Coturnix japonica: one gene and its partners. The protein of the gene in region 4 interacts with the protein of the main gene of each other region in a pairwise test. Links are inferred from orthologs where the notes say so. Each region holds a gene or a part of one and is shown on either strand. Other genes may lie near its edges. The genes, in order: BHLHE40, ZBTB44, FAM204A and SMYD1.

Region 1 (5,748 bases), on a different chromosome or scaffold from region 4:
CTGAAACCCTCACCTGGGTTTAGTACAACTGGGCCACGCTCATGTGGCAGGACCGGGCTCAGCCCCCACCAGCAGCTCATTACAGGACAGGGTGCAGGTTTGTTACTCATTAGGTGTATTCCACGTAAAGCCTCCAAGCAGCATCTACCTTTTATTTATCAAAATACAGATCAGCAAAGGTGTGGAGAGAAATCCTAGTCTGCCTGAACCACTGACTATGCACAGCCAGGCTGGGAGCGCTAAGCCCCCAAAGTACCATCAGGGACAGCCAGACCCTATGGCCCAAGGCACCACGGGGACACCCAGACCCTCCACTGGGAACATCCAGACCCTCCACTGGGGACCTCCATACCTTACAGCTCAGAACCCCCAAAGTACCACCAGGATCACCCAGACCCTACAGCTCAGAGCCCCTAACGTACCACAGAGGGCATCCGTACCCTGCAGCAGGGCCATCCATACCTTCCACTGGGGACAATCTAGACCCTACAGACCCACATCTGCCTCTCGGGGTATTTTTTCACAGCTTTGACACATGGCAGCTGACTGAGCCAACCCGTTCTGTGGGTGAAGAGAGGGGGGTGGAAAGCATCGAGCTCTTTGCTTTGTCCTTTTGGAAGCAGCTCTGCACGGCCAAGCCAGGTGCCTCCTTCATCCTCCTGCACGTTCCCTGGCACAGAGGACAGGGACGTGGCTCCCTGCACGCCACGAGCCGTGGCCCACACCTCCCTCCAGCCAATGCATACAAGTGAAACGGTCTCAAACTGGAAAACAAAAAAAGACAACAAACCAAAACCCACGTCGCATTTAGTCTTTGGTTTCCAAGTTCAACGGGGGGATCTGCTTCAGTGCCTGCAGCAGGGCCGAGGAGTCGATGGGGGAGCGGGTGGGCCCCGGGGAGGGCAGTCTCTGGGGCAGCAGCAGTGGGGGGGACAGCTTGTCAGGGCCCACAAAGCCGGTGAGCGCAGCGGTGGGCGTGGGCAGCCCGGGGTACAGCACAGGGACGGAGGCCGGGTACCAGCACTTCTCCAGCATGGGCAGGTAGGCAGTGGCGGATGGTGGGATCAGGTAGAAGGGCAGGCACAAGGGGGGCTGGTGGGCGTGGGGGGGCAGGAAGCCGCCCGCAGTGCCCATCACCTCGTTGCCAAAGGGGCTGTCGTCATCAGGCACCTCCAGCCTGCTCCTCTTGGCCGGAGGGTCCTCGCTCTCTTGCTTGATGGAGCTGATCCTCTCCTGGACGGCGTATTTCAGTTCGGTATCCTTTGGGAAATAGGGCTGCTCCGGTTTGGAGTCGTTTTTCTCCAGCTCCCCCCCATAGCCGCTGTCCGTGTCTGTGTCGCTGCCGCTCTGCTCCCCGCTGGAGGCAGCGAATGTCCTTTGGATGACGGGCACACAGTTCTGCCCGCGCCCCTCGCCCGCTTTGCCCCCCGGCACCGTCTTCTCCTTCAGGTCCTTGGGGCTGCCCGGCAGCAGCTCGGCCGCCACGCGGTGCAGGTGCCCCACCAGCTGCGCTGCCTTCAGCTCCTTGTTGTCGTGCTTGGCCACGTACTGCAGCAGCTCCTTGGCGCACAGCTGGAAGCCAGAGCGGAACATCTCCTGGCTGGAGTCGAGGTTCCTCGCGGACAGGTCACCTGAGGAAACATTAACAGGGAGAAATTAAAAATTAACAGCACGCCAAATACTTCCATCACCACCTCCAGGCTGACAGCACGCGTCCGGTACAACACAGCCAGCACAGCAAACTCAGTGGCCAACCTGAGTTCCCACAACTTATGCGCCAGAATCCAACCTGCTACTTTCACATCCCTCCATTCACTTCTACCCGTGCCCTTCATCTTTCAATTCTGCATTTGGCACTTCCACTGGGGAACAAGCAGACAGTGCATCCCACACCCAGCAGGACCCCTCAATGCCACGCTGTGCCCCCACTGCCAATGGGTCTCCCCTGGTGCTGTCCCTGCAGGGCAGTGGCACCTCGTTGGCCAAGCTCAGTTTGACTTTATCAGAGCCATGTGAATGCCACGTGTGCAAGCAGCAGGAGGAAGCAGAGGGAGCGAGCAGCCACTGTGCTGAGCCCCGTCCACCTGCAGAATGAGGGAACACAGATCTGCACACGGACAGCGGGTGTTTGTGTGCTCTGGGGGAAAAGGAAAGCGCAGAACCAGGATCCAAAGCTCATGAATGGAGAGAGCTGAACGACTTTGGAGAGGGCATCACAGCAAAGCTGCGCTTTAAATAAAACTACTTCAAATCCACTTTAAAATGAAAGCGACCGCACAGCACGCCTGGCTCCGACCCCATGGAGAGCTGCACTTGCTCTGCACAAGCAAAGCGAGAGAAACTGATGGCAATCAAAGGGCAGAGGCTCAGGCATCCCTTCCCCGCGCAGTGTCCCCGCACGCTGCACTCACGCACCTGCCTGCAGCCCGCTCTGCAGCGCCAGGATCTTCTGCTGCTGCTGCTCCGTCAGCGCCGTCAGCGCCTTCAGGTGCTTCAGGGTCAGCTCCAGCACCACCGCCTTCTCCAGGTGACCGAGGGTCTGCGGGCAGAGCACACAACGCGTTGGACGCTGCGGGGGTGGGGGTGGAAATAGGCGCTGGGAGACATTCCCACGGCAAAGGTGGGGGCGATTTGGGGCAGGGACTCGGGGGCAGCGCTGCTAATTGGGGAAGGCACAAGTCGTGCTTCCTGTGAACAGAAATATCCGGAATTTGGACGGAACACACAGAGAGCAGCCGCGGGGCAGCCCCCGGCCCCACATCCCGGGGGTATTTGGGGACGCCCAACCCCGAGCACAGCTCCGTGCCTCGGCGCTGCTGCCCCCGCCGGCATCGCGCGCTCAACGCAGGGCCGGGCCCGGAGCCCCGTTGTGCCCGTACCGTCAGCTTGAGGTGCTCGGGCAGCAGGTCCTTGAGCTGGGCGATGCACTCGTTGATCCTGTCGCGGCGCTTCTTCTCTATCAGCCTGTGGGGCAGCTTGTAGGTATCCTGTAAGGAGCGGCGGGTCAGCGCTCCGCACCCACCCTCCGTCTTTTTGCCTTCTTTCCTTTTTTTCCCCCTTCCCAAATAATCGCTAAACCCACCACGCATTCCACCCTCTGTTCTTTTTTCCTTTTCCTTTTGCTTTCCCCCCCCCTCCCCACCCAAATACTCACGCACCCCCTCCGCCCCCCACCCCGCAGCATTTCTTTTTTATTTCCCCCAGAATTACCCAGTGGAGGCCCCTTCCCCCCTTCCCGCATCACCCCACAGAAGCTCAGCTCTCTTTCTCACTCCCCCCCATCCCAACGATCGCTGACCCCCGCCCCGCACCGCCCACCCCGTTACCTTGCTGTCCTCGCTCCTCTTTAACCCCCTCCTGGGCTTGTACACTTGGTACATGTGCGCGAAGTCCAGCCTGCACGGGCGAAACGAAAGCAGCGAGGTTACCCCTGTCCCCGGGGCCGCGGCGGGGGGACGCTCTCGTGTCGTCCTGTCCCCCCCGCAGCCTTACCCCGGCACATCGGCGCTCTCCAGGGCGGGCAGTTTGCCCAGGCACACGGGCGGGGGCTGCGCGCTGGGGATGCGCTCCATGGGGGCGCGGAGCGGAGCGGTGCCGCGGGAGCCGGGAGGAGCGGAGCGGTGCGGTGCGGTGCGGAGCTCAGCGCGGGCAGCTCATGCCGCGTCCCCGCCTCGCCGGCTGAGGAGCGGAGGGAGGCGGAGGGCCGGGTTAAATGCGGCCGAGTGGGTGGACGGCGGCGACGTGCGTTACCCTGTGACTCCCGGCACGTCTGGCCGGGCTCCCCCCCCCGCTCCCTCCCTCCCTCCATCGCCGTCACATGAGGCTCACGTGTCGGCGAGCGGCGGCCTTCCTCCCCCCGCCCGCTCCGCCGTGCAACGTGCCGGGGGGGGGTGGAGGCGGGGCGGCCGGTCCGTGGCCCCGGGTGGCCCCGACCCCGGTTGCTTCCCGGCCGCCCCTCGGGCTCTGCCCCGCCGTCCCGCAGCGGAGCGGGGCAGGAGCTCGGCACCCGACTCCCGTTCTTCAACACTCCCGCGGCGCGTCGGTAATCCCCGCTGCCGGAGCCCTTTGGCTGCTCCCTTCTCTCCGAGCCGTCCCGAGGCTCGGGGTTTACTCATGACCTTAAGGGATGTTGCCAAGGATTTTGGAGTCCCCCTAAAAAGAGGATCCGAGTGGAGCGATGGCATTCCTGGGCGGCAAGTGGGATGGCGGAGAGTTGGGTTACATTGTCCTCCCTATGATCAGCTTTCATAAGCTGGGGCTGATGCAATCAGCAATTTGTCTCCGAGATTTTGTTTGCTGAATTATTTCTGCGCAGAAATGCATACATACAGGGCGTACAGAATGCAGCAAAGAGGCCAAATTTCCTGCAGTCACGGGTCTGAGGTGCTGTCCCAGGAGAGGAGCAGACAGTGCCCAGCAGTGATCTGCACTTATCTACAGACCCCCCAGAAGCCAAGGGCTCGCAGTTCGGGCTCAAGTTGTACTGAGGGCTCGGAGATGGTGATTTGGGGCAAAACACTGTGAAATCCCAACAGCAGCATCGGATAGAGCCCGTGTGGGCAGCTCGGAGTTAGCAGCTGGGCTGCGGCTTCAGCCTCACGATAAGGTTACTGCGGGTGGTTTTGTTTTAAAATGTCCCTTACTTAATATATCCACGAAGGCCAGGCATGTGCCTGTGGCCTGGAATCAGATAGCTGACTCCTCTGCTCTCTCATTTCCAGCAATCTCGTTTTGGGTTACCAGCACCGGAGGTTAAAGGACGGCCGCAGGCGAAGGTTATGCAGGGCAGCAGCGCTTCGGCTCGGCACCCAGCGGGCACCCGATGGGCATCCCCAGAGCCCTCCTACTGAACACACCCCCACCCTCCCAGCAGCCTGCAGGTGGTGACCAAAGCTCGGACTGAGCCTTGAAAACACACTGCCCAGAGCTGTGGTGCCCCATCCCTGGAGGTGCCCAAGACCATGGGTGGGCCCTGGGCAGCTTGAGCTGGGGGGCAGCCAGCCTGTGGCAGGGGTGGGGGCTGGGTGACCTGTATGGTTCCATCCAACCCAACCATTGCATTAATCTGTGATGGTGTCGGGGTACCCATTGGGAAAAGCAGTGAGAGCCAATGGCACTGAGGGTCTGCTATGAGCAGGGTGCTGGCACTGCATGGTGAGAGCCTGCAGCCCATCAGCCATGAGCTCTCTTCTGACCGAGCATGGGGATGTTTGCCAGCACCCAGCACAGCAGTGGGAGGAACACGTGGGCAGGAACTATTTGGAAGTGGCAAAATTTGTGGACATAACAATTTGTAATAAGAGACCTTATCCCACTTTAAGGCTCTGTTTAATGAAATCTCCCCACTGTGCCGTGACAGCCGCCCTGCCCATGCGCTCGCTGCTAACCAGGTCCCTGCTTGCACCATCGCTTGGAAAAACACCCCCGGCTCTGTGCTGCCAGCGGGACCTCGAGTGCCCCCAGCCCTGGTGTGAAGGGCTGCCCCCAGTCCCATGGCCATGCATTGGGGGCTGCCGAGTGCTGCTCCTGTGTACCCGTGAGGGCTTTGCACAAAGGTATCAGATCCCCACACAGCTCTGCCCAACATCAAGCAGTGAGTCAGCCCCGGGCCGTCAGATGTCTGTGCTTCAGCTCTCAGATCTGCAGAGCGGGGAGCACGGCGCTCTGCAGGTATGCAAAGCAGAGTGAGGTGCCTTCAGATCTCTGGCTCAGAAAGCACCGCACCACCCAACTGCAGAGCTGTTTATT
Region 2 (5,719 bases), on a different chromosome or scaffold from region 4:
CATCCCTGGCTGCTGGCAGCCACCCGAAGAGCCATCAGTAACATCAGCTGCCTGCTCTGCTTCTTTCCCCTAATGATTTACTTCTGGCCACTGTCACAGACCACATGCCAAGCTCCGCACACACACTCCGCAGATCTCATTATCCCATCATTCACATGTTCGGATCATTATTTCACATGAACAGGTTTATTTCCCCAGCTCTACGATGTAATATATTAAAAACCACTATCTGCAAATTAAGTATAGCTTAAGTCACTTCCTTAAGTTGACTAAATAGGAGAGAATTAAATGAAATTCCCAGCCTTCACAGTTCACCCTTTCCATCCATCCACACAAATGCCATGTTACCAGGTTGCAGTTCATTCCCTACCACCACCATTTTATTTGTGCACCTTCCACAGACATTTGTTTTCATCCTGTGAAACCATTAGAAGAATCAATTGGAACTCCAAAGCAAGCTGAGAGTAATGGGCTCCTGTGTTTACATAGCAGTAAGTACACAACTATTTAATTGGATCTATTGGCTAAAAACTGCATCTTTCAAAGCAATAACAGCATCCACCGCAGCAACAAGGAGCTGCCTTAAAAATCTTATGTAAACCACCATTTCCAGTATTATTTTCCTGCTTCAAACTGCCAAAATAGCAATCGCTGACTACTGCAATAGTGCCACAGAAGGCACATCTCCCATCTAGTTTGACTCCTGAAATCGAACACTTTCTGAAAGGGAAGTAATTAAATCGCTGCCCCTTTTCAGTGAGACAATCCCAAGACTGATGTCATAATTCAAGCGACAGACTGTGAACAGCTCCGCAACCGTAGCATTTAATTTAGAAGTCGGCACTTGACACATTGAAGTATTTGGAATTCCTGAAGTCTGGCTGTCTGCACAGTTGCATAATTTGAACAGGAATAACCTACTTACAACCGGGCGAGATAGAAGTATGTCAACAGACAATCCCTTCTACATCAAGGGCCATCTCCTTCCTCATCACACACCGGCAGCAACAGCATCACTCACCGATCTGTCACGGTTCGGTTTTCCTCTTTCAGCTACTGAACTACAATGCCTTCAGGAGCTGTTACATTTATCACCACATCTTCCTGTAGAAATAAACCCAAATGTTCTCAAAGATTATAAAGAAATAAGTTTACACACGTAACAGACTCCATCAGATGTGCAGAAAGCAACACTAGTGCAAAGGACCTGAGGCCTCCTCTCTGCCTCCTTCTCTGCCAGGGACATGTGAGCTCACACGAGCACCATCCATCTTCCACCAGGCATCACACATCCATTCAGGAGAAGGACACGAACATAAAAAGCCTCCAGAAATAACATTTGGGCACTTGTTCAGCTTCACACACAGAGGAAGCTGTATTTTCTTTCGCCCCTCCTAGCAAACAGCTGAGCAGATGCTACAGACACCAGTGAAAGGAATCACCCCTTTCAAAGTTGCCAGTTTATGATGAACCTCCTGTTGCAAAAAGCAATGGAGAGGGTTCAATTTCACTTGCTAACTACTTCTCTTACATGCTACAGAAGAAAGACATGAAGACACTCCTCCCCCTAAACTTGACACCCACAAAAAGAGGAATTCTCTCACCCTGTTAAAAAACAAGAGCAACAACAAAAAGCCCCAACAATGCAAAACCTTCTGTGTGGGAAAACAAAAGCGATCCCTCCACCTCACAGGTGAGCATCCACACAACCAGCATCCACCTGGGGAGCCAAAAACAAGGGCTGGAAATTCCCCTCCCTTGGAAAGGGATCTCTTGGAGTGTTCACACCAATTAAGAGCTGCAGATTAAAACCAGCTGTTTAAACAGAAGAAGTCCCCAGGGAGACACGCTTACAGTGTTCTAACTAGTTTCTGGTATAAACAGCTTTACATCAATGGAAGTATTTAGATTGGTAGAGCTGTATGTTAGCTAGCAGGTTAACACTTCTGCTCTTTCTTACATAGATTCATTCAGAGCCAAGCAAGCTCTCCAGGCACATCACGCCTTGGATCTGCATTACACGTGGATATCGAGATGCAACAGGAGAGCTCAATGGCACATGTGAAATGCCCCACGAGACTCCTGGACAGCAGCCTGTGCCAGCCATTCCCACCCAGTATCACCTTGCAGGGTTCACAGAGCAGTCCCACGTCACTCCGTGTACAACAGCGTGATGCTAGAAACCAGAGGTCAGCTCAGCAGGTGGGCTGGGTGACCTCCACCTAAAGAGAAGCCAGGGAAAAGAAGGGAGAGAACACGAGCAAACACGTAAATAGCAAAGCTGAGAAATTCCCCTCGTGATAATAGGGCAAACCTAGGGCTTCGTGTGAGGAAAAGAGTGAATGCTAGAGACTACTGGAAACACGTGAGAAAGATTCCTGAGTGAATGGGAACAAGAGGTGGACAGAAATCAGGAGACTTTCGAGTTACATGTATGACTAGAGAAGAGAAATCCAGTGCGTTTCAGACCAGCTATGTCCAACTTGAAACCTGCAGATGCTATGGGAACACACATAGTAATTCCAAATAGAAAAGCAACCTAAAGGCAGCCACAAATTGCAGGGCACAGCTGGGTGACCCCTATGGCACATATAGCAATGAGTACCACACGTGGGAGCAGGCACCATGAGGTGTCTATGGGATCAGGTGGGACAGTAAGCAGAAAGCTCCTCCTTGGGAACCTGCAGGAGAAATGCCTCATATCCAAAGGGCTGAGGGCAAAACATCACGGTGTGTAAATGCATGTGGGGCTCTTGGTCAGTGGGATAACCAGCTCTTGGTAGACAGTCAATGGGATAACCACAGAAGGCCTAGCAGACAGGTAACCTCACAGTGCAAGGAGATGGAGGAGCTGCCTCGTAGATCTGGAGGAAGGAGCGTGCTGCTCTATTAGGGTGGCTCAGAGGCTTCAGGGCACAGGATAAAGCCCCATGGGGTGGTCATACTTCATAGGCTGCATCAGCCCAGCACACCTATACCCGTTAAGAAGCACAAGGGGCTGCTGAAGGCAGCAGGATGCCCACTTAGGCAGCTCATACACGAGAGCCGAGCCCCAGAGCAGCCCCTCTCCCCCTGCGCATCCCCATGTGCCAATGTTTACGTCGATCCGCTCACAACCCACATCACAACCCACACACACGGCACAGCTGAGCCCAGCTGAGCCCAGCACCCCCCGGCAGATGGACAACGGCGGGTGGGGGGGAGCAACAACAGGCCGCGGGCTGCCGGCACCGCAACAGGGGGCATCACAGAGGCACAAGGGGTCGGGCCCACAGGGCACAGAGGGTCCCTAGGGCAGCTTTACCCCCCCACACTCCCCCGTTCTCCCTCAGGGCCTTACCTGCGCTCTAACGCCGGGCCGAGCCCCCTATCTCGGTGCTGGCCGGGCCATGGCGTTGGGAGGCGGAGGAGGAGCAGAGGCCGCTGCCACCGCCACCACCACCAACACCACAGCAGCAGCCGCCGCCTCCCCCTCAGGCGCGGAGCTGGCGGGGCGATGAGCAGCCCCCAGGGTGAGGGGGTCGGCGGCTCAATAAGGGGAAGGAGGGGAAGGGATGAAGGGAGGAGGAGAAGGGAGGGGAGGGGCGGCTCAGCGGGACGGCTCCGAGCGACGAGCTGCCCGCGCCGCCCGGCCGGGCACTTTGTTTGTGTCCCACAGTGCAGCGCGATACGGGGCGGGGCGTAAAGGGGGGCGGGGAGAGCGGAGTGCGCGTGCGCAGTGAGCGGCACAGCGGGAGCAGCGGGTGGGATGTGCATTGGGGGTTATAATGTGTGTAATAATGCATGTGTGTGTATGGGGTGGAGGTGTGGATGTGGGGTATTGAGGTGGGACCGTGCACCTGAAGGCATGGGGTGCACATAGAGGTCAGGGTGCATGCACTGATTAGGAGTGTGCACACAAAGCGCCTCAGTGCGTGCGCGAAGGGACTAAATGCATATACCGGCCACAGCAGTGCATGCATGCATGGGTAGAGCAGCACTGTGCATGGGTAAAGCAGCACTGTGCATGCATAAACCAGCACTGTGCATGGAGAAACCAGTACTGTGCATGCATGCATGGATAAAGCAGCACTGTGCATGGATAAAGCAGCACTGTGCATGGGTAAAGCAGCACTGTGCATGGATAAAGCAGCACTGTGCATGGATAAAGCAGCACTGTGCATGGGTAAAGCAGCACTGTGCATGCATAAACCAGCACTTTGCATGCATAAAGCAGCACTGTGCATACATAAGCCAGCACTGTGCATGGACAAGGCAGCACTGTGCATGGATAAACTAGCACTGTGCATACATAAGCCAGCACTGTGCATGCTTGCATGGATAAAGCAGCACTGCATACACAAACCAGCACTGTGCATGCATGCATGGATAAACCAGCACTGTGCATGCTGCACACCCCAGTGCATGCACACCCAGGGTTGTGCACACTGCATGAGTGCATGCAAACCATGCACAGTGCACACACACCATGCACAGTGCACACCACGCTGATGCACCCCCCCAGCCCTCATCCCACTGAGTGCACTGCAAATTGCAGCATAAAATGGATTTGAAAAGCAGCACGGTGCTCCCAGCTCCCTGCAATGTAAAAGAACCCCCCTGGGGATGTTTCATGACTGTTTTCTTGCAAAACCAGAGGGAGATGGGAACCCCAGTGTGCTGCAAGATTGCACTCACTGCTGCTTCAGTTTCTCCTTTTCCTTCCCTTGGCTTTGCATTTGCACGTAGCTGCATGGTGAGCATGATGCATTGCTCTCTGCAGATTGCTTTGGTGAAAAACTGGGGTGAAATAGCATCAAGTGAAGCAAATAGTGTGTGTGAGTGTGCGTGCAAAGATTGTTCTCACTTTTTTTTCAGCTGACAAATAAGAGGTAATTTGCAAGGCAAGGAAGAATGCTCACCCTCCAAATTCTGCTCCAAAAAGCGCACAGCTGGGGGTGTATCATGTTTGCAAATGGAGCAAAGGAAAACAGCCTTAAAGCGCTCTGCAAGAGCAACTCCTGCAGAGCTCAGCCATCCGGCACAGCTTCCTTTGGGGCAGCACTGCTCTTCCTGCTGCTGAAACCTTGGGGGATTGGGAACATCTGACTTTGGGAGCGTGCAAAAGTCCAGCTCGGAGCGCACGCACAGGAACTGTCCCACCAGGAAGCCACCAGCAGCACGTTGATTGCTACCGCTGCAAAAAGAAATGTGCTGCTGGCACAGCTTTGCTCGTTGCTTCCGCCTGTTTTGCAGCAGGAGGTCCCAGAGCACAGTGCTGGGGGCCCTGGGCAGGATGCAGCGGTGTCCATCGGTGTGACGCATCCCAGGGTGCTGTATTGCTGCCCACGCTTTAGCACCTTAAAAACAAATTCACCCTTTGTTCAGCTGCTGGAAAGGGAACTAGAAAACAACCTGAGAAAAGCATTAATAAAAGCCAAGAGGCGATAGGCAGGAAACCCTTTATTGAAGAGGTAAAGGCAGAGTCACAACCAGAGTTGCCCTCAAACACAAAGATTCAGAAAATGGTACTTTTCTCCCCTTGCAATGGAAGCCCCGAGCTCGGTTCTGGCTGGATCCATCCTGCAGCTGATGGGATCTGTGCACCCCGAGGGTGACACCGGGGGCTGTCGGGGCCATGCGAGGAGTGATGCTTTGGTGGAGGGACATGGGAGCAGCACGGTCAAACACAGACAGTCTGGTTTTTTGTCTTACGTTTTCTCTCCTTTTCAGACAGCTA
Region 3 (5,750 bases), on a different chromosome or scaffold from region 4:
TCACTGCATTTAAGCATTCTGTTGGTTTCATAATAAATACTTTCTTAAATAAAAAATAGAAAAGCAAACAATTATTGAGAAACAGAACACTTAATTATTCAGATGAAAGTTAATAGAGTGCACAACTGAAAAGCCAACTGTCAGATGCCTTCTCTGAAATTAATGAGACGTGTTCCTCTAGCAATTAAATCACAACTTAAATGGAGAACAGCTGCATGTTAACACTCCGGGCCTCATTCCAGATCTATACTGAGCAATTTAATGACAAGTAAATGCCCACCAGAAGTCAGAACTCAGGCAGAACTGATCAATATCAGTGTCAATGCAGAAGTTTACTTTGAGCAAATGAAAAACAGAAAGTTCATGATAAAGGATGCCACCTGAATACTCGATGTCTTAAAAGTAACAGGGGACCACTACTGCTAAACTACAGAACAAACTCATCACATTTCAAGTTCCTCACACATCTGTCATGTTCAATCAGTTATACCAAATATGGCTAGTTACACAGCAACAGTTGTGAACTAAGTGTGTTGGAAAGTCAGTAAAACTTTATGATAGATTCAACCCCCTGATTAAAAGAGCTACTGGTCTCAACCAATGGACCGACTTGGAACACTCTGAAGTTAAAACACAGTAAAAGGTCACTGTAATCAAACAAGGCATATCAAATCTTTTTTCTCTTATCACAATAGAATATAAAACCAAGGAAGGAAATAGGGCACCAGTATTGTCTAGAAACCTTTCAACCCAAGTAAAACCTACATGACACCAGAGGGGAATTCATTTAAAAATACACACAAAATTATTCTTCTTTATTGACTTGGTCATATGCTTACTTCTGAATAGACTCAGTTTTACTGTTATTTCAGTTAGCACAGCCTTCTTTTACTAGCAAAAAAAATGATGACACAGCTTTTGTAACAACAATCACCTTTTGTGGAGTTCTGCTATCCACAGGTGATTCAAATCTATCATTGATTCCAAAGTACTGTGTAAGTTCTTTCCAGTGCTCTTCATTGGCCAACTGCTGACTACTAAAAACCAAAAAATAAAACTCATTAATATAACCAATTTGTTTCCCACAGCTTGTAACGTTCTTTTCAAAACTAAAACAAACTCTCCCATTTGGCAGATGCGTTCTTTTCACCTGACATCTTTTAATGCAAGCTATTCCTTTTCTTCTGTAGCCACAACGCTGCAATCTTGAAAGCAAGCTTGTATGCAATTATATGACAAACACCACTAAGAACAATAAATTAATTTTAAATTGCATTAAAAAAATACTATTCTGTTATTTTAAATCAAGCAGTAAGCAAGCAAAAAATCACTAGAATTCAACTCAGTCTGTAGTACAACTTGACTTGAGTACATACAACCAAACAACTTGAGTACATACACAATATAACAATGTTCAAAGAGTGTCTGGCTACACTTCTTACAAGTTTTGCCTGATATTAAAAACAGACCTCATATAATCACATTGACCTGGTTCATACCTCTTAGTCACTTCATTTTTGTCCTTTTCCCGTTTTTCTAGAAATGAAAAAAAGAAAACCCAATATTACAGTGATGCCCTATTGCATCCAATAAGGTTAGCAGATCATAATAGAGGATGCCCCCATTGAAAGACTGTCACAAGAGGATCTATAAAGAATGATTATGGGGGAATTAAACTACTCTGCTGTCAGGCCTGTCATTTGAAGAACGTCTTACAATATCTGTCAAGAAGCCTTGATCAGAACGAACAAAATAACATATAAAATAATGGACTGAAAACATGCTCAGCTAGTTTAAGTCAGTACTGACTGAATAAATTCTACCCCCTCTTTAAAAAGAAGAGGAATGCTTTACTTGAACTTTAAGTAGCAATTTACAGTCTAGGCCTAGAACAGGTGTGTAACAACTAGAAAAAGAAAATCCTACATATCAGACAACACCTATTCAGGCATTCAATTATTGATGAAAGCTAAAAATGTACTTCCAATGCACTTAACACTTATTCCATTTGGAAAAAATAAGGTCTGGAATTATGGAAAACACCTTTTCTGCGGCGCTTTCTTTTTCGGCCTTGGCTTCCCTGCTTTGCTTCCATTTTCATATCATGGTTTTTCTTCTGAAGCTCCAAAAACTTCTACAAGATTAAGAAAAAGCAAGGATCAGTATTTTTTAATGTTTGTTTGTTTGTTTTTAAAGTTACACAGAACACTAAGAAATGTTGTCCCAATATCTCACTTACCCATAGTACCTTCCTGTATCTATTACATTCAGACTTATGCACTGAGAGCATCCAGCCCTGATGGTGTTAAACTGCCACTGGCTCTAACACTTTCCCACCAGTACCACTGACTTTCTGCCCCCCATCCCCTCTAAGTCCCAGGAACATTCAAAATAGTTTTCTCAAGGAGCACGATGCTGAATATGCTTTTGTTGGTTGTGTACTCCCAGGCTATAGAACAGTTTGTTATTGCACAGACAGTGGTTTAGAATCTAAGACTACTGACAGTATATTCCTTGCACATCAGGAGAGTTTTTAAATGCCACAAGAAAAATAAAGAGAGGTTATAAGCAGTTATGAGTCTGGATACCTGCACCTAACCCCTATGCAAAGCAGAACGGTTTAGCTCTACTTCACAGATAAAAATCACTAGTATAGTCACTAACATGCTTAGTTATAAACCCTTTCACACACAAAAATCAATACTGAGGAAGATCAGCACCCATATACTACCAGAAACACAAGTATTATGCAACTGAGTAGTTACCCAAACATTTCTTTGCTGTGCTTTCAGTCAGTGCTGCACAAGAAAATAATGCAAGGTTTTCCTGTTTTTCCTCCTGTTTAAATTCACGTTCTCTCTACCTGAAGCAATCTAAGGTATAGTATTGTGACAGCACTTTTACTGCATTTCATTTTGTATTGGTATACCTAAAATATCCAAATTTGAGTTGCTGAGATTTAAAAAGCAGCTATTCGAGTAACCTCTGGATATTTGAAGTTACAATACCCACATTCCACATATTTAAAGGTACTCCATCAGGACATGTTTGAGATGTGTTTTCTCCATCTGTCACAGGTATCAAAACTGATTTAGTGCTGGTATTACTTTCAGGTCCATTCTCCTGCAATTCAGGCAGCTGAACTCTTTCTGTATCTTCCTTTATATCTTCATCCTTCAAACAGGAGATACATGACTCCTCTTCATTCTCAGAGCTCAAGTCAACATCACTTTCACTCAGTCCTGGAGGTAAGAGCCCACTCCACATCTTCCTCGTGCAAGGCCAAGGCACTGGGAGTTACTGCATAAACACAGGAGTCACGTGAGCACACCTGTTGTGAGACAAAAACCACAGTCAGTCAACAGAGAGTCAGAAACACCAGAATATAATAACAGAAATACTGAGCTACTTTACTCCTGAGGTGCTTTACACGCTATCTTTATAAAGCTGTCAGTACTTACAACTTCAGAAGAGAAGTTAAGAAAGGATTTAAGCACACCGATTAGAGGCAGTACAAGCTTTGTTTCCTCTTCCTTATTCTTTAAAGTTTTCTCACTTCGGGTTTATTTACAGTTAAGAATGACACATCAACATCGCCTCCCCAGGGCAGCAGAGAACACACAGCCCTCACACCGACAGAGCTGTCGGGAAGACGGGGAGAAGAAACCGCTCCATAAACAAGCCAGGAAGGGAGAAGTGCTGCTCCAGGGCAGAGAAACAGAAGAACAGGAGAAAAAAAACAAACACCCAACAGCACAACCAGGACCCGAACAACCCCAGCACCCACATCACCAGCTGAGACAGCACTGCGTGTTTACCTGGCCGCCATCTTGGCACCCCTGTTACACCCCCGCCCTCTGATTGGACGCTGCCCCTCAGCCAATTAGCGGGCGCTTTGCTGCCTTGAGCCCGGCCTCCATGAGCCGTATGATAACAGGGCCGGGCGTGCAGCTTCACATTGGTCTTATGTCCCCAGATATATGAGGAGTTCCAGTGTAAATAGGGATAAAGGAAGACAAATGCCTTCCCCATAGCTGTATAACAGATCTTTCAGTGTGTTTCCTTTCTATACCGTGATATTACATCCTCAGTTTCAGTTCTGAAATCAATTAATCCCGTCATTAATCACTTTGCCATGAACCACATGTAAATTTCACACTCAGCTTGCTAACTAGTTTTTTTTCCTCTCATCTGGGAAATCGATTTTTAAAGAGATTTGTTTTATTTACGTTTAATACTTGGTTCCATTTGGCACACAGATAAGTGGTGATATATAAATATATCGCTATTGTGTATTGATTTTAAGGGATACGTTTCCAAAGAACAAGTTTCATCTTGTCACAATTTGTATCCAAAGAAACAGAGAAACAACATTGATAGATTTCCCCCTTTACTTTCAGCATCCCAGAAGCTCTTGCATTCAAAGGGTGGGTGGCTACTGAAGCTACAGTTGTTTAATAACAAAAATTTGCAACTTACCCATTTTTGGTTTCGTTACTTTTGTTGCTGCTGTGGCTGAAACAATGTGTGCAGAGTCCTTTAATGAGTTAAAACAAGTAGGGAGCCCAGCCTTGTCACCAACATACTTCCCTAAGTATGATACTGATTGTATCCAAAATTTGCTATAGGGTTAAACTCAAACCAGTTTTCTGTTCGTCCTTTAACAAATATTCACATTATCTGGTTTATTTCCTTCTGATTAACAGATCCAACTTCACTTGAATTCCTGCTCTGGGGACCTGCTGATAATGACTATTATGAATGAAACAAGTCATGCCTCTGAAAATCCTATGGAACATCAAACTAGTCTAACTCCTAGACTTAGTATTTTTGATGCTATTATTAAAAATTACTTGAAGGAAGAGCTATTGCAATTATGTGCACATGCAATTAAATCAAGTGTAATTTGACTGTTTGAAATGCATCAAGAACCTCATATTCCTGTTTTCTCAAGATAATACATCTGAACACATTGGAAACCAGCTCTTAATGGGGCACCTCAGCTATAAAATTTAAGACACAAAGTAGTATTTGTAAACATTCGACATAGAATTTTTCACACGTTCTGTTGCAGCACTGAAGGGGTGGTGTTTTGCTAGTTTCTGAGTAAAAAAACACTGATTGTGATCTACAAGACTGGTTGTTCTTTGGGTTCTTTTTGAAACACTCATGTAATTATTAACTTTAACAGCAGTGATCAAATTTGCCAAATATAAGAGCAGCTGATGCCATGTAGTCCCCGAGGGCAAGTTCTCAGGTTGGAACTCTCTCCATAAAACTGGCTGGAGCTCAGATCATTGGACTTCAGGACAGTGGAAGCCTACACTATTTTCTCAGCTGCATGCTTGAAGCCATGATTAACTAATCACAAGTAATCATATACATGCTTATTTCCACAAAATATATGCAAATGGTTTCCTAATACGGAAATAGAATCTGCTACAACATAAATTATGCTCTATTAGCTGTTTCTTGTTTTTAGCAAGAAATGAGGACATCAGGACCTTTTCCTTAAGCAAGGAAATATGCTGCATTTTATCCTTTTGAGACAGTGTTTTGGAAATATGTCAAAATGATCAAGAACTGAATACTTGTTTAATCATAATAGGAAGGCCTTATTGTATTAGCAGATTACAGTCATTGTGTTAGTATACTATCTACCTTGTATTCATTTTTGCTAACATAATGAAATTTTTTTCCAGCATGATTATATTTTAATACAATAAAATAGTATTGGAAAGGAAAATTAA
Region 4 (5,099 bases):
GCTGCTTGATGGATCGGCAGCAGTTTAGGCTCCTCCTGGCTTAGGAGGGGGTGGAGGGCAGAGTATCCCTCCGGTGGCTGTGTGAGAGCAGCTGCCTAAACTGCCTGCTCTGCTGGGACATCCCTGCAATCCCACTGTGCCTTTCAAGCTCTTCCTATCTCACACATCCTGCAGACATTTTCTTGCAGGATTTGGGTGGGAAATTGGAATGCACAGCACGCTAGGGCATCCAGCACTAACATGTGACTCAGTTTGCAGATTACAGTCACATTTCTCATTAAGAACCTATTGCTAAAGAGTTTATCAGTAATTAATAGAGACTGCACGTTCCCAAAGAAATGAGGGTTTGTGTCAGGAATGGCCATAAACACATCAATGATAGTGATACATGGCTGATTGAAAGCTTCAGTAATGAGGAACTCTTGGACTGTGGACTCAATTTAATCTTTAATAATTCATTAACTGTGAGTATTCCTTAACTGCTTATGAAGCCTTAATTGAAACTATCTAGGTAGCTACTTGCCACTCTATCTGTCTATTTTGAGTCTGATTTCAAAACTCACAAGGGAAAACTACTTGCTGGTTCACTGGATTTGAGGTCAAGCCCTGCTGAAAAGCTCTGTTGGGTCTATCAGACAGCATTTTTTTAAATAATAAGAGAAAAAAAAACAGCTCTTCTTTAAAAAGAAAATCCTAGCTTTTTGTTTCTGGACTAGAGAAGGAAGTGAATCGATTTTCTGGGACAGGGATCTGACACTCTGAGGTTAGCAATCTGCTTTGTGCGTTGGCTGTTAGGATAGATGCCCACTATACTTGAGGAAAGCAATGCACTCACTTGCCATTGTTGAAGATGACAGTGCAGTTGGGCCAGCAGTCATGGTTGGCCTGGCAGAGGTTGGGGAAGATTCCCACGCCAACAGCTTGCAGTCCTCTTTGGTCACTGAGGGTAAAGGCATTGCAGTTGATCTAGTCCCAAAAAACAGGCAGGAAGAAGCATGAAAGGAGAAATGGCTGAATTCAGCTATTAGTATAACCTCCAAACCTCCCACCAAGTATCCCACCTCCAAACTTTAACAAGGAAGGAGGAGTGCCTACAAGATTATCATAGAAGGTAATTCCAGAAATGATATGTGGTGAAGGTGCACTGGTCTCTTGTATGGATTTCTCCCTGTGCCCAGTGGATTTGTCCACTGGGATGCTGTGTGTCCCTGGGGGAAGCTGATGACCCATGGGGTTAATGAAGCCTGACACGCACTGACTCACAGCAGGGCTGGAGGCAGAGCTGCTCAGCCTCACAGAATTTCTCTCTTTGCACCACAAAAATGTATAGTTAATATTTTAGGAAAGGGTATTATGAAATCTTTGACATACCACTCCAAATATGTGGGAGATGTACTGCATGCCAAACTGTTGGCTCTGGGCTGGCCAGAACTCCAGGAAGTTTTCCACATCAACACGGAGGTCCTTCTTCTCCTCCTCATCAAAGCTCTCCACATGGTTTTGCAGGTCGTCAATAGAGACCAGGCAGTTCTCTGACAGCCCACTGCCTTCTCTCTCTATCCGCCACAGGATCCGTGCTGCCAGCCTGGCCAGGAGAAAGCCCAAGGTGCTAGCACCATGCAACAACAGACCCTGGTGCTCATCTACTCAGGTTCTGGTGTTCCTCCACCCAGCACAAGGAAGGGGACTGAGAGGCCACAAAAATTCATTTACGGGTGGGACACTGTGTGCAGCCTGGCCATACATGACAAGTTCATGGCTGGTCCCCATCCATGAGTTTTGAAGGGAAGGAAGCCACAGGGGTTTCCCATCATGGCATATATGTTCTTATCTGGAGAAGTCTTACAGAACCCCAGCCCTAGACAGCTACTTCCATTTCTGTGGGGATTCCTATCATTTTCTCACTATGGAGCCAGGAAATGAATCAAAATCAATACGTACTGGAGCATCCCTGTTTTTCCCACTGAAATTGCACAAGGTGGCTTTTCCTCACCTCATTCAGCTGCTGTAGGGTTTTGGGTGTCTAGGACCAAATAAAAGCAGGAACACAACCCCCTCACACTGTGGACATTCCTCCAAGCCCCAACCCATGAGCTCAGGGATCTTTGTGGCCTTCCCAAACCAGTTTCCAATACCACACATCCAACTTGGGACACCCAGCTCTCTCTCACCATCCCCAGAGGGATTTCCTGTCCTCCCCCATGATTTCCCAGCCTGGTGGTGCACCAGACAGCCAGTCCCTCAGGGCCCACTCTCACCTGATGTTCTCGGTGGGTGCCTTGCCATGCTTCTTGATGGCAGAGCACTCATTTTTGTGGTTCAGCCAGGCATCTCTCTGGCAGGTCCGGTCGCAGTAGTAGGCAAACTTGCACTGGCCGCAGCGATGGAGCCTCTCCTGCCGTTTGAAGCAGGTGTGGCAGACTACATGTGTCAGGCTGGAAGGACAGAAAGACGTGCAGGCTTATGCCTCAGTGACAGGATCATAGAGTCATAGAATCATTAAGGTTGGAACAGACTTTTAAGATCACCATGTCCAACTCCAACCCATCCCCACCATGTCCACTAACCCATGTCCCTCAGTGCCACATCTACACAGTTCTTGGACAGTACAGTGACTCCACCATCTCACTGGGCAGCCTGTGCAAATGCATTACCACTCTTTCAGAGAATAAATATTTTCTAATAACCAACCTGAACCTCCTCTGGCACTACTTGAGGCCATTACCTCTCACCTTATCACTGTTACCTGAGAGAAAAGGCTGACCCCCACCTCATCACAACCTTCTTTCAGGGAATTGCAGAGCAATAACGTCTCCCCTGAGCCTCCTCTTCTCCAGACTGAACCATCCCAGTTCTCTCAGCCATTCCCCATTAGACTTGTACTCCAGATCCCTCACAGCTTCATTGACTTTCTATGGGCAAATGTCTTTTTGGTAGTGAGGGGCCCAAAACTGAACTAAACTTGAGATGTGGCCTTACCAGGGTCATATACTGGGGGACGATCACCCTTGCCCTGGCTGGCTGCACTAATTCTGATACAAGCCATTGACCTTCTTGGCCACCTGGACACACTGCTGGCTCATGTTCAGCTGGCTGTTGACCAGCACCCTCAGGTTCTTCTCTTTTGCACAGCCTTCAAGCCACTCTGCCCCAAGCCTGTAGCATTGCATGGGGCTGTTGTGACCAAAGGGCAGGACACAGCTCTTGGTCTTACTGAACCTCATACAACTGGCCTCAGCCGAGTGATCCAGACTACCCAGGTCCCCCTGCAGGGCTTTCCTACCTTCAGACCGACTGATGCTTCCTCTAAACTTGGTGTCATCTGCAAACTTACTGAGGGTAATGGGTCAACTCCTTTCAGCTTTCTGCCTATGGGCTCCTCCTGCACAGTATGATGGAACCTCAGACATTTTGGGAGGACAGATAAACATCTCACCTAGCTTAATCCTCATGCACTTGTCTGATTCTGTTGCTTCCCTATTTGGCTATGCCAAAGAGACAAATATTTTGTTTAAAGGAGGAAAGCAATAAAGCATTCCCCAGCTCTCAGCCCTCTTTTCTGCTGCTTGTCTGCTCCTCCTCAGCACCGCTACTGTTAACAGGATTTTCAGTCTGGCTTTGTTTTCTGCCTGGCCCATGCTAAGCTGAAAGCAGACATCTAATGAGTCTGTGTGGTCCTAGCTGCTATCTCAAGCTTTATTTAGGCACAGTCATACTGTAGGGATAAAAATACACATCAGAAATGCTCTGATAATGATGACTGACAGATAGAGGTGGTTATATTGGGAAATCCTGTGTTTGTGCTGCTTGAAACCAAGCTATTTTTCTATGAAAAGCAGATTTGCTTGACAATTCTTTCTGCCTCTGGACCTGAACTGCATCTATATTTGAGAGACCTGCACCTGGTATTGTGTTGGAAATGACATAAGAAGTCCAAGAAAACAGCCTCCTTCAAAAGTAGGTGTCCTCATCATAAAGTCTTTTCTTGTATGTCTTCTCCTCCCTTCACCAGTCTCTTGGCTGTCTAACACCAGGCAATACCAGTCTGGGTGGCTTTGGGGCTCTCCTGATCCCAAGGATTCCAGGAAGATGCTTAGGATGGACAAAGGGACAAAGGGCTGAGGAACCCATTCAGCCAACCCCAAGCACAACTACCCAGGCTTGTACGCAATTTCAGCTGCCCCAGGGACAGGCAAGCAACACCAAGTAGTTGAAAACAGAAGAAAGCTGAACTCAGAAGCGCTCATGGAGCATTGTCTGGGGTAGGACAAGGGGCAGACTGACTGTAATACCAAGTTTAGGAAGCAGTATTTGTGTTTATGAACACTGTAAGATGTTATTCATAAATCCAAGAGGGTTTTCATACTCAAAATGACAATATGGTGCTGAGCTGAGAATACTGATGATTGAATGCTTGTTCCAGAACATGGCACCCATGGGGGTGCCATTAAACAGCAAAGTAACACGGGCAGTGCCTGATGTAGGGATGTGTTCTGCTCTGTTTAGTCTGGCATCAGCAGCTGCACACTTCTCTGCCTCCATCCAGGCTCAACAGCAAGGGGGAGTTTAAACTCCTACTGCTTAGACACCTCTGTGTTTGGGGGAAGTTCTCATCACTGCAGAAAGCTCATTGACCCCATGGAACGTGATCATTGCCCACAGCAAGGAAACAGGCACGGGGAAGGAAAAAATGAGTTGGCAATCACAAGAGAAGGCTGTGCCACAAGTAATAATCACTCCCATAGTCACAGGACTGTCTTGCCTCTTCCCCCCCTTATATATATATATATAAACATGTGTGCGTGTTTATTTCTATCCCAGTACATTTAAAATGCTTTTTCATTCCTCTGGCACTAGTACATGAGCTACTGAAACCACCCACCCTGTGTGTTGGCTCAGGCAGGATGGAGAGGGCCACTGATGGAAAGCAGGTTGATTTGCAGCAGGCAACACCACGTGCAAAAATGAGGTTTGGAAAATGACAGCAAGCAGTGCTGGTGCAGGGGAGGGAGCCCAGTGCAAGGCAAGCAGTCAGCACGGGGAAAGAGGGAGTGCGTGTCCATGCAGCCAGCTCTGTTAATGCAGATGAAATAGCTGGG

Evidence for each region.
Region 1: the proteins of SMYD1 (region 4) and BHLHE40 interact in binary tests that used the Homo sapiens proteins (3 or more experiments, as listed by UniProt). The link is inferred for Coturnix japonica from reciprocal best matches to the Homo sapiens genes SMYD1 and BHLHE40.
Region 2: the proteins of SMYD1 (region 4) and ZBTB44 interact in binary tests that used the Homo sapiens proteins (3 or more experiments, as listed by UniProt). The link is inferred for Coturnix japonica from reciprocal best matches to the Homo sapiens genes SMYD1 and ZBTB44.
Region 3: the proteins of SMYD1 (region 4) and FAM204A interact in binary tests that used the Homo sapiens proteins (3 or more experiments, as listed by UniProt). The link is inferred for Coturnix japonica from reciprocal best matches to the Homo sapiens genes SMYD1 and FAM204A.

The regions. Positions count from the first base shown.
Region 1 is NC_029527.1:15,937,018-15,942,765, reverse strand, and holds the start of BHLHE40 (class E basic helix-loop-helix protein 40), read right to left. Parts: upstream 3,834-5,748; 5' UTR 3,573-3,833; coding exon 3,493-3,572; intron 3,397-3,492; coding exon 3,327-3,396; intron 2,988-3,326; coding exon 2,880-2,987; intron 2,540-2,879; coding exon 2,416-2,539; intron 1,632-2,415; coding exon 808-1,631; 3' UTR 1-807. UniProt on the Homo sapiens protein: Transcriptional repressor involved in the regulation of the circadian rhythm by negatively regulating the activity of the clock genes and clock-controlled genes.
Region 2 is NC_029539.1:1,351,419-1,357,137, forward strand, and holds the start of ZBTB44 (zinc finger and BTB domain-containing protein 44), read right to left. Parts: upstream 3,668-5,719; 5' UTR 3,341-3,667; intron 1,105-3,340; exon of another isoform or gene 1,022-1,104; intron 1-1,021. UniProt on the Homo sapiens protein: May be involved in transcriptional regulation.
Region 3 is NC_029521.1:26,437,363-26,443,112, forward strand, and holds the start of FAM204A (protein FAM204A), read right to left. Parts: upstream 3,863-5,750; 5' UTR 3,819-3,862; intron 3,592-3,818; exon of another isoform or gene 3,462-3,591; intron 3,332-3,461; 5' UTR 3,268-3,331; coding exon 3,013-3,267; intron 2,135-3,012; coding exon 2,044-2,134; intron 1,537-2,043; coding exon 1,500-1,536; intron 1,038-1,499; coding exon 935-1,037; intron 1-934.
Region 4 is NC_029519.1:77,830,651-77,835,749, reverse strand, and holds part of SMYD1 (histone-lysine N-methyltransferase SMYD1), read right to left. Parts: intron 2,923-5,099; exon of another isoform or gene 2,776-2,922; coding exon of another isoform or gene 2,747-2,775; intron 2,436-2,746; coding exon 2,259-2,435; intron 1,586-2,258; coding exon 1,372-1,585; intron 967-1,371; coding exon 836-966; intron 1-835. UniProt on the Homo sapiens protein: Methylates histone H3 at 'Lys-4' (H3K4me), seems able to perform both mono-, di-, and trimethylation. Acts as a transcriptional repressor. Essential for cardiomyocyte differentiation and cardiac morphogenesis.